Cricetulus griseus: one gene and its partners. The protein of the gene in region 1 purifies or fractionates together with the protein of each later gene. This does not show direct contact. Links are inferred from orthologs where the notes say so. Each region holds a gene or a part of one and is shown on either strand. Other genes may lie near its edges.

Region 1 (2,449 bases):
TCAAGACAGGGTTTCTCTGTGTAGCTTTGGAGCCTATCCTGGCACTTGCTCTGGAGACCACACTGGCCTGGAACTCAGAGATCTGCCTGCCTCTGCCTCCCCAGTGCCAGGATTAAAGGCATGCGCCACCAACGCCTGGCAATAAATAAATCTTAAAAAAAAAAAAAGTCCTCTAGTAACTAGTAAAGCATTGCTCCAATTCAGAGCCAGTCATTCTGCACATTAATAGCTATACACGATACCGCATTTGAGATCGACTGACAGGGACTCTGACCTGTGGTCTAAGTACAAAATGTTTTAAATCAGACTTATGCATAATGAAACAAACTAGTAAGCACAGAACACTAGAAGGTACTTGAAAATGGTCAACTAATCACTAGCCTCAATTGGGCCCACTAAATGGGTCATCAATAGGATTCAAATCAGGACAGTGACAGCATTCATGGCAAGATGCCATCTCGAGGCAGAATGGGAAAAGAAGCTGAACCAAAAGCCAGTTTCCCACTTAATATGGAAACACCTTTATTGATAGTGTAAGACAGTCATATACATACAAAGACAAACACAAGACAATGAAGTGTAAAATTGCAGCACATGGGCTAATATTCTTCACCCTCATCATCTCCTTCAGCACTGTCTGCCCCAACTTCCTCATAATCCTTCTCTAGGGCAGCCATGTCCTCACGGGCCTCAGAGAACTCCCCCTCCTCCATGCCCTCACCCACGTACCAGTGCACAAAGGCACGCTTGGCATACATCAGATCAAACTTGTGATCTAGGCGAGCCCAGGCCTCAGCGATGGCTGTGGTGTTGCTCAGCATGCACACAGCTCTCTGGACCTTAGCCAGGTCTCCACCAGGTACCACAGTGGGAGGCTGGTAATTAATGCCAACCTTGAAGCCAGTGGGACACCAGTCCACAAACTGGATGGTACGCTTGGTCTTGATGGTAGCAATGGCAGCATTGACATCTTTGGGAACCACATCCCCACGGTACAGCAGGCAGCAAGCCATGTATTTACCATGGCGAGGGTCACATTTCACCATCTGGTTGGCTGGCTCAAAGCAAGCATTGGTGATCTCTGCTACTGTAAGCTGCTCATGGTAGGCTTTCTCAGCAGAGATGACAGGGGCATATGTGGCCAGAGGGAAATGGATGCGAGGGTAGGGTACCAGGTTGGTCTGGAATTCTGTCAGGTCAACATTCAGGGCTCCATCAAATCTGAGGGAAGCAGTGATGGAAGACACAATCTGGCTAATGAGGCGGTTAAGGTTAGTGTAGGTGGGGCGCTCAATGTCGAGGTTTCTACGACAGATGTCATAGATGGCCTCGTTGTCTACCATGAAGGCACAATCAGAGTGCTCCAGGGTGGTGTGGGTGGTGAGAATGGAGTTGTAGGGCTCAACCACAGCAGTGGAAACCTGGGGGGCTGGGTAGATGGAGAACTCCAGCTTGGACTTCTTTCCATAATCGACAGAGAGCCGCTCCATCAGCAGGGAGGTGAACCCAGAGCCAGTTCCCCCACCAAAGCTGTGGAAAACCAAGAAGCCCTGAAGACCTGTGCACTGGTCAGCCTGTAAGAGAAAAGCTCATTTTAATGTTGAGAGACATCTATGTAGAAGCTGCAGTGGGTGTTTATGAGTCTGTGACTAACTACCAATAAAGTTCCAGAGTCCAAGAGTAGTTATGAAAGGCTTCGAAATGCTCAGTCACTCAGACTTCCCTAAAACTGATTTTAAAGGACATTAGATCTGAACAGACACATAGCATGCTTTAGAGGCTGGGAAGGCGGGCTCTAGTGACCTTGCTGTGGATCAGACCACAAGGGCACCTTTGTCATCAGCTGGAGTTACTGAGGGCCAGCCAGATTCAGACCTCACACGTTGCCAGATCTGTGTGAAACATCTAAACTGGAACACAGGATGACCAAGTTTCAGTGCCCTGGGTAGTGGCAGGCTGGGTGGGGGGTGGGTCCCACCTTCTCGTGTGGGACAAATTAATTTCTCTATCTCACTAAATCAGAGTAGTGACCCAGCTGAGGCTGAAAATTAAACGAGTTCTTAGAATAATGCTTGGCACAGGAAGCACTAAGTTTGTGGTGTTGGGGGGTGAGAGGCAGGAGGGTGTTATTCATTCTGGCAAGGTGATTCCATTATTTAATCAGCATTCCACCAGACCTCGGGTCATTGGAGCTCCCTGCTCCATTCAACTGGTCTACTCTGACTAGTAATTGTTACAAAACAGCAGGCCAAATTTGACCTCCATACTTTTCTACGGTCCTGGAGATGGAACCTTGTACACACTAGACTTACTACAAGACCCCGTCCCTACCCCTAAGTTGTGACCTTTCGGATAAAGTATTCCATTGCAACTCTTAAGTTTGCAGACATTTTTACTAATCCTTCAGTTCTCTCATCTTATAGGTCCACACTGTAATTACACACAAGAG
Region 2 (4,199 bases), on another chromosome or scaffold:
CTACTATGCCTGGCTTTGTTTCATTCTTGCAATAACTATTAGACAGATGTTGAGGAGAATCAGAGTTTCTTATTTCAATCAAAATGGCAAAACCTCCAGTATAGACCAGCATAATATATCCAATGGTGTTATGAATTGTCATCTGTGTGGAGAAGTGATTCCTATTGATATACATGTTTATAAAGTCAGGTAAAAGCTTAAAAATTGAGCACATATATATACCTAAGTGCTCAGACATACAGGCAGGAAAAACATACATACACATAACATTGTTTTTAAAAAAAAAAAGTTAAAGGGGGTCTGGAGATATGGTTCAGTGGTTAAGACCACAGGCTGTTCTTCCAAAGAACCCGGGTCCAATTCCCAGTACCCACATGGCAGCTTATAACTGTCTGGTAACTCCAGTTTCAAAGGATCTGATACCTTCACATCAATGCACATAAAATAAAGTTTAAAAATTATTTTTTTAAAAAAAGTTAGAGTCCTTTCAAAGGCTGGGCACCACTGTCCAACTAAGCTTGAGTTTTTAGCAGGCATACAAGATCACACCACTTTGGAGGTTGAAGCAGGATTGCTATGAGTTAGCTATCAGTCCAGGCTATACAGTGAGTAGGTTAACCGGGGCCAGAGTGAGACCTTGTTTCACATACAAAAATAAAAAAGCCGGGTGGTGGTGGTGCACGCCTTAAAGCCTGCACTATGGAGGCAGAAGCAGGCAGATCTCTGTAGATTTGAGGCCAGCCAGGTCTACAGAGCGAGTTCCAGGACAGCCAAGGCTACACAGAAAAACACTAACTCGAAAAACCAAAAACCAAACCAACCCTGAGTCCACAAATCTGCCTCAGTGACCTGGGCCCTAAGAATAGACTATTAAGTCTCATCAACGCCCATCGCGCCAATCTCGTCGCTCCTAAAGCCATCCAGGAGTTTCTACCTAGCATTATACTCGTCTTTCCCGGATTTAAATCACCAGAGTACCAGAGAAGCGTCCTTTATCTGTGTTCCTACTTTTAAGGATAAAAGGAGCGATAAAAATGAGTCTAAGAAACCTCGCGAGAGGGTGAGGGGGCCATTCCCGGAACCCAGAGTCCAGTAGCTACAGACACGCTGCAAAGCGAAGCCCATGCCTCTGCTTCCTGTCACACCCAGACGAGTGCTGAGGCCGAAGAATCCCTCACACAGCAGGCCACACAACCTCTGCGACCAAAACGGAACCTTAAGATGCGGAGTGACGATTGCCAGAGAACAAGTTTCTCGGATGCGCAATGACGCCGCAACTGAGCGTGACGGGCGGAGCCTCGAGAGACTAGCGTCTGACTGAGCCAATCATCGAGCAGCAGCGGAGCCGCAGTCCAATGGAGGTGCGCTGGAGGCACGCTGGGGGCGGGCCGGGTGCGTAAGACTTTTCGAGAAGACCCGCATAGAGCACGTTGTTCTCGGCCTCTCCCTGAGCTCGGCCGGCCATGGCGGCGGTGAAGAGCCTAAACCCTAAAGCCGAGGTGGCCCGGGCGCAGGCAGCGTTGGCCGTGAACATCAGCGCGGCACGGGGCCTGCAGGATGTACTGAGGACCAACTTGGGGCCGAAGGGCACCATGAAGATGTAAGGCCGGGATGGCGGGAGGGCGGGCCTGGCGGGCCCATGGCCGCAAACTCGAGCCGCCGCCTCCAGGCCTTGGCTTTCTACGATGTCTGTGCAGCCTCCCAACCAAACCGCCCAGTTCACTCCTTTTGGGATTGCCAGGCGCACCCACTTCCTTTGGAGGGAGAGGGTGGCGTGTGCACCTTTCCTCTACCCAGCCCCGTGACCCCGAGCTTACTAGGATGTAGTTGTAACCAAATTTTATGGGTTTTATTTTTTTTTACCTTATAGTTGGCAAATTGATGAAGTTCACTGGGCCGCAGCGCTTTATTTTACTCTGCTCTTACTACCTATGCCTTTTTCCCCTTGTACCCGCGTCCCAAAAGACGCTTGCTTTCATGTCATATATCCCATTGTCTCCTTGTGGGCTTTTCATTATGTATTTATTTGGGCTCTGACTGATCTGCTCTGAGCTGCCTCGAACTTACAGAGATTCACTTGTCTCAAAAAGAGAGAGAGAGAGAAGCCGGGCAGTGGTGGCACACGCCTTTAGTCCCAGCACTCTGGAGGCAGAGGCAGGTGTATCTCTGTGAGTTCGAGGCCAGCCTGGTCTACAGAGTGAGTGCCAGGACAGGCTCCAAAGCTACAGAGAAACCCTGTCTCAAACCACCCCCTTCCCCAAAAAACACAAATAAGAGAGAAAGAAAGAAATATGCCCTTCCCTTTGACTTCTTTATGGAATTCTTAATTGGGTTTCCATTGAAAAAACGTTACATGTTGCTCATCAGTTTCTGCCCATTTGACAGGCTTGTTTCTGGTGCTGGAGACATCAAGCTTACTAAAGATGGCAATGTGCTGCTTCACGAAATGGTAAGAGGTTGCCGTGCTACGTTAAAAAATAAAAATAAGAAAAGCTTGACCTCCTGTAGTTTTGCTAGTGTTGGCATGTTCATTATTGAGGTGGCTCATATCTTTGAAACAGAAATGTAGAAAATAGTGTACTGGATGAAGAACTCTGCTTGGGGAGGGGGCCTTTTTTTTGTAGTCTGGGTGGTGGTGGTGGTAGTATGCTTTAGTCCTAGCACGATGGAGGTGAGCCAGGTGGTTCAAGGCCAGCCTGACCTACAAAGCAAGTTCCAGGACAGCCAGTGCTGTTACATAGAGAAACCCTCTCTTGAAAAACCAAAAACAGGGCTGGAGAGATGGCTCAGAGGTTAAGAGCACTTCCAGAGGTCCTGAGTTCAATTCCCAGCAACCACATGATGGCTCACAACCATCCGTTATGAGATCTGGTGCCCTCTTCTGGTGTGCAGCTATACATGGAAGCAGAATGTTGTATACATAATAAATAAAATCTTTTTTTTTTTTTTTAAGAAAAAACAAAACAAAAATCATAGCCAGGCAGGGCTACATAGTGAGATGCTGTTTCAAAAACAGGGCAATTGGGAAAGAAAAACAAAAACCCTCATATTCCTACCAAACCACTGGAGAAATGAAGCTTTTCTTGCATCATAGATAACCTGCTTCTGCCTCCTAAATGCTGCGGTTAAAACTGTACACCGTCACACCTGGCTAACTATATATTCTATATGTTGTTATTTTGTCCCAAGGGTTAAATGAAATTGGTCCAAGCATCCATTTGTTTACCAGAACTTTCAGGTCCAGCAGTTTAAATCCCAGAAAAGAAAATGACTTAAAAATCCAAGCAAAATGTAGCCAAGCTGGACACTTTACGTGGATGGCTTTAAAAGGAGCCTGTCTTACATTTTACCTTAGGTAATGGTTTAAGTCATTTAAACAGTTCTTTTTTTTCTACTTTTAGCAAATTCAACACCCAACAGCTTCTTTAATAGCAAAAGTAGCTACAGCCCAGGATGACATAACTGGTGATGGTACTACATCCAATGTCCTTATCATTGGGGAGCTGCTAAAACAGGCAGATCTCTACATTTCTGAGGTATGCATGATAAAATTGTTTCTGTGGTATTTTTGGTGGGCTCTTGGTGCAAATTGATGCAATACTCCCTGAGAGCACACCACAACTGTAAGGTCAAGCTGCTTAAATCTGGGAGCCTGTGCTTGTCTTTATCATGGTCCGGTGTCAACTATATATAAATGATAATATATTTATATTTAACGGACTTGTCTCAAACTCAGAGAGATCTAGCTGGTTCTGCTCCATACCTGGCCTAGTCTCTGGTTTTTTGTTTTGTTTTGTTTTTAATAATATTTCAAAATAATGTGAACTAACTGCAGACAGGATAAGCATTTGCTGACAGCAGAACTTTAGGAGCTAGTTTTGGGTTTGGTATTCTGGTTTGCACAGTGAACACCCAAGTGTGCTTTGTCTGTGGTTCCCTTGGCCTTGACTCTGTGCTAGAGTAAAGTCTGTTCGTTTCCTCTGCATTGAAAGGAGTACTGTGTCCTTTTAAATGTATTCAGAAAATCAGCACATCATGTTAGCTTAATTGTATTAGGTATGGGTCACTTAGGGTGTCCCTTCAAATGTTACTGGACTTAGTGAATTGTTGCATCTTGTTGAAGATGCAAATGTTGGCAGTGGTTTTGTAACTGTTTTGATTATAGGGTCTTCATCCCAGGATAATAACTGAAGGTTTTG
Region 3 (3,934 bases), on another chromosome or scaffold:
GAGCTCTTCCACTGAGACACACACACACTCAGGTCTATACTTTAAAAAGAATAATGTTCTTACAGGAAACTACGGAATGCTGAGAATGGAGAAATAGTCTTCTCTAGGGAAGAGCACACCAATTGGTTATTCAGTACCAAATGGTCAGCCTTTAAAATGTACATGTGAGTAACATCCTACACACTGAGCAAACTAACGATATTTAGAAATACGTATGCATATATACACTTATGGATGTAACAACAATCGATGAAAACAGGCCATGAATCTGAAAGGGATGGTTTGGAGGGAGGGAGAAGGAGGGGGAAATGATGGAACTGTATTATAATCTCAAAAATAAGAAGTAATTAAAAAAGACAAAAAACAAACCACCCCATGAAATAAACCTGTCAATTTGGGGGGTACAGTGTGGTTACTGCAGTTCAGCAGCTTAGGAACCCAATGATCTCCTTCTGATAACAATCTCAAACAGGCAAGGGCTTCTAGACTAGCCATCAGTGAACAAACTCCTCAGAAGGAAAAGTATTCTACTCATGGGGTGTCCAGAACCAAGGAAAACCTCACATATAATTCAACTTCGAAACCCAAGGCACACACCCCTATTAACCAAGCCTGAGAACTCTTTCAGCCCCTTCCACCTTTCCCTTGGCAGAGACTTTGTCACCTCAACTAGACGCTCACTATGCCTTTCAATACCCTTCCCACCATTTACTGAACCTTAATGACCTTTCTGAGCCTTCATTTTCTCTTTTGCAACTGGATATGATAAAACAATCATCTCACTGAGTTTTCGTGAAAATAAATGACAATGCAGAACTGGGCGTGGTGGTACACGCCTTCAATTCCAGCACTCCTGGAGGCAGAAGCAGGCCAGTCATGGCTGCACAGTGAGTTCTAGCCTGCCACCTCCACTCCTCCAAAACAGACAATTTAATAAGAATGCACACATGCTTAAACACTTAGAAATATCTTTTCCCATGGAACTACTGTATGTCTTCAATTTGATATGTGGACCCTAAGATTGGTCTGAAAGAGAAGTTTTAATCTCTCTCTTTACATGCCAGCTCCTTGGTTACATGTTTTATCTTGCCTAAGTCTTCCCTCAAGTTTTATTCCTGGGAAAACATTCAACAGTGACAGAGAGTTCAATTCAGAACACCCTGAAAATGAGGAGGGAAGGTCACATGACAGCACACTGCAGTCAGGAGCCAGTGCCAAGGCGATTTCAGGGAGCAGGCCAGAGGGGTTACTTGTTTCTGTTGGTGGGCCTTCCTGAGTGCCGCCAGCCTCTTTTCTTTGAGGAGTTCCAGCTCATCTTCACCGATTTGATCCAGTTTCTGAATTTCAGAGTCCAAGTGACTTTCCACGAGCTTAGCAGCCTGGAGGAACTGGTTCTCTATGACCTCTGAGAACATGTCGATGGATCCATTACCTTCCATTGTTCTAAATCGTCCTGATGCTGGGAGAGTCAAAAACAAAAACAAAAACAAAAACAAGCATTTCATTTACACTTTGGGGGTTTTGTTGTTGTTTAAACACAGGGTCTTGGTAACAGGGCTTGAGACAGTATCACAGTAGAAGTCATTTAGTCATTCTGAGACCTTAGAACCTAGCATGTAGGCCCCAACACCTGCTGAAACCGGGATAAAGACCCAGTCCATCAAAGACCTGGTCCACAGTTCCAGGACCCAGGGAAGTCTCTAATTGTACTAACTTCCTTTATGGCTTCTGTAAATTTTAGCCATTTTTTTTCATGGACATTGCCATAAGGAGTTTCATTCCTATACTTCCTCAGAAATACCCTAACGAAAAACAGCTATACAGGAGGTAGGTTTATTCGAATTGGAGGCCAGGAAAAGTGAGACAGGAACAGAAGACACTGCGTCCAATCATAAGCATAGAGAAACGAACACCTGCATGCCTGCGTCCAGCCTCCTCTCTACACCTAATCTAGGTTTACCAATTCGGGGAACAGAACGGTGCTGCACAGATGGGCAGGTCTCCTTGCTTTAATTAAAGCAATCAAAACCATCCTCACTCCCCACTAGCCAGGCCCACGGTCCAAGCCGATCTCACAGACGTCTCAGAAACACCACAAAAATCATCTCACAGACAAAATTATCCCCGCAGGAGAAATATATAAGAATATAAGGCTCGGAGCTGGAGAGATGGCTCAGACAGAGGTTAAGAGCACCGACTGCTCTTGCAGAGGTCCTGAGTTCAACTCCCAGCAACCACATGATAGCTCACAACCGTCTGTAATGAGATCTGGTGCCCTCTTCGGATGTGCAGATATACACGGAAGCAGAGTGTTGTATACATAATAGATAAATAAAATATTTTTTAAAAAAAGAATATAAGGCTCTGCACTCGGGATTAAACAAATGACCGGCCACGAAACGAGCTCGTCAGAATGTTGACATTATCTAAGCACAGCATTCGCTTATCCACGGGGGAATCTTTTTACAGGGAACTTTTGCATTGAGGTTCGGAGCTTCACGAGAGCCGCGCTAGGGCAGGCGGTGGTGGTCGCTGCCTTAGACGGGGGCGGAGGGGTCAGGAGATGGATGGCTCAGAGGTTCCCCATAACTTCCTGTTGACTGAACCAGCCCGAGTATTCTTCTTACCGATGAACTAACTCGGGGGCTGACACCTAACAAACTCCTACCCGAAACCCCGACCCCAGGTACCGCTCTGCAGATTCTTGGCCACTCCCTGAGCTCCAGAGACAGGTGGAGGAGTTCCGGGGGGACGATACTCGGCACCACCTGGGGCCTGGGGCGCATGCGTCACAGCCTCCGGCGCACACACCAGGCTGTCCCGGCCGCGCCCTCCCCCCGCCCCGACCCCGCCCGGCCGGGTGTGCAGCCGCGACACGGCCTTCAACCCTGGAAAGCGGCTCCTCCTTTGCGTTACCCGGGCTATCGGTGATGCCTACGAAGGGAGGAAGTTGCAGCTCAAGAATGCCGATCGGGTTCACGCAGGTTTCAGCCTCGCAGCGGTTGTTAAGGGCGAAGGGTCTGCCGGCTCTTCCTTTTCATTGGCTAACGTCCTCTCGCGATGCACGGTGAGACAACCGCGGAAGGGGCGGCTGGCGAGTGACGAAAGCCTCGGAGAGTGCGAATCTCCTCCGCCACCCGGAACTACAAGATTGCAGCCCCACGCTTGTGGGCTAACGACCGGAGGCATGAGCGCTAAGGACGTTGGGAATTGTAGTTTTCCTTGTGCGCAGGCTGCGCGTCCGCACTCGCTGTGCTCCCTCGAAAGGAGCCCGGTCTTGCTCCTGGGCGACCATGGGGCTTCGTTTCCTTTGCGTTTAATGGTTTCTAAAGTTGAAGCGTAGCTCACCACAGTGCACTGTAACTACGTAGCTCACACCAATCACACCGCCCCACACCAGATGGAGAACATTCTTACCGCGTCAGTCTTCCCTCCTGATTTCCTGCAACGCATGGAGTCTTTAGAGCTTGCTCACACGAAGGATTCATATCGTGGGAATGGTCGCTGTACCCTTGAGTCTTTCCCCCTTAATAAATGTGCACAGTGCTGCTAAGTGTACGAAGTGTTATTTTATACACGAGTGTTAGTTACCGAGGGGGACCCCCTTTTTTTTTTCTGGGTGTTACGTTCCCTGGGGAACCCCGGAAGGCTCATCATGGGCTCCTTGCGGTCCCGTAATGGATGAAACTCCCTGCCACTGAGGAAATGCAGGGTTGAGGGAGTTTTCAGTGCCAGTCCCGAGTCGAATGCCAGCCCCGGGGAGGGTGCTGACGTGAGTGGGAAACGAAAAGCCTCATTGTCGACAGGGCTCTAGGTTCTAGAATCCGGGAGCTGCCGGGCGTCGGCGCGCGGCAGTCCCCTGCGGCTAGGGGGCGCTCGGGTTCCCACCTGGCCGGCGGGTCCACTGAAGACGCTCTATCCGAAGCGCCGCTCT

Evidence for each region. The genes of interacting proteins can lie anywhere in the genome.
Region 2: the proteins of Tuba1c (region 1) and Cct6a purify together in Homo sapiens (affinity purification with mass spectrometry; 3 studies listed by BioGRID and IntAct, with this or other methods). This does not show direct contact. The link is inferred for Cricetulus griseus from reciprocal best matches to the Homo sapiens genes TUBA1C and CCT6A.
Region 3: the proteins of Tuba1c (region 1) and Txndc9 purify together in Homo sapiens (co-immunoprecipitation; 3 studies listed by BioGRID and IntAct, counting the BioPlex papers as one, with this or other methods). This does not show direct contact. The link is inferred for Cricetulus griseus from reciprocal best matches to the Homo sapiens genes TUBA1C and TXNDC9.

The regions. Positions count from the first base shown.
Region 1 is NC_048595.1:395,480,224-395,482,672, reverse strand, and holds the end of Tuba1c (tubulin alpha-1C chain), read right to left. Parts: intron 1,575-2,449; coding exon 600-1,574; 3' UTR 501-599; downstream 1-500. UniProt on the Homo sapiens protein: Tubulin is the major constituent of microtubules, a cylinder consisting of laterally associated linear protofilaments composed of alpha- and beta-tubulin heterodimers.
Region 2 is NC_048597.1:109,109,636-109,113,834, forward strand, and holds the start of Cct6a (T-complex protein 1 subunit zeta), read left to right. Parts: upstream 1-1,399; 5' UTR 1,400-1,463; coding exon 1,464-1,600; intron 1,601-2,385; coding exon 2,386-2,449; intron 2,450-3,401; coding exon 3,402-3,536; intron 3,537-3,897; exon of another isoform or gene 3,898-4,036; intron 4,037-4,165; coding exon 4,166-4,199. UniProt on the Homo sapiens protein: Component of the chaperonin-containing T-complex (TRiC), a molecular chaperone complex that assists the folding of actin, tubulin and other proteins upon ATP hydrolysis.
Region 3 is NW_023276807.1:10,255,642-10,259,575, reverse strand, and holds the start of Txndc9 (thioredoxin domain-containing protein 9), read right to left. Parts: upstream 2,801-3,934; 5' UTR 2,787-2,800; coding exon 2,669-2,786; exon of another isoform or gene 2,628-2,668; intron 1,460-2,627; coding exon 1,251-1,459; intron 1-1,250. UniProt on the Homo sapiens protein: Significantly diminishes the chaperonin TCP1 complex ATPase activity, thus negatively impacts protein folding, including that of actin or tubulin.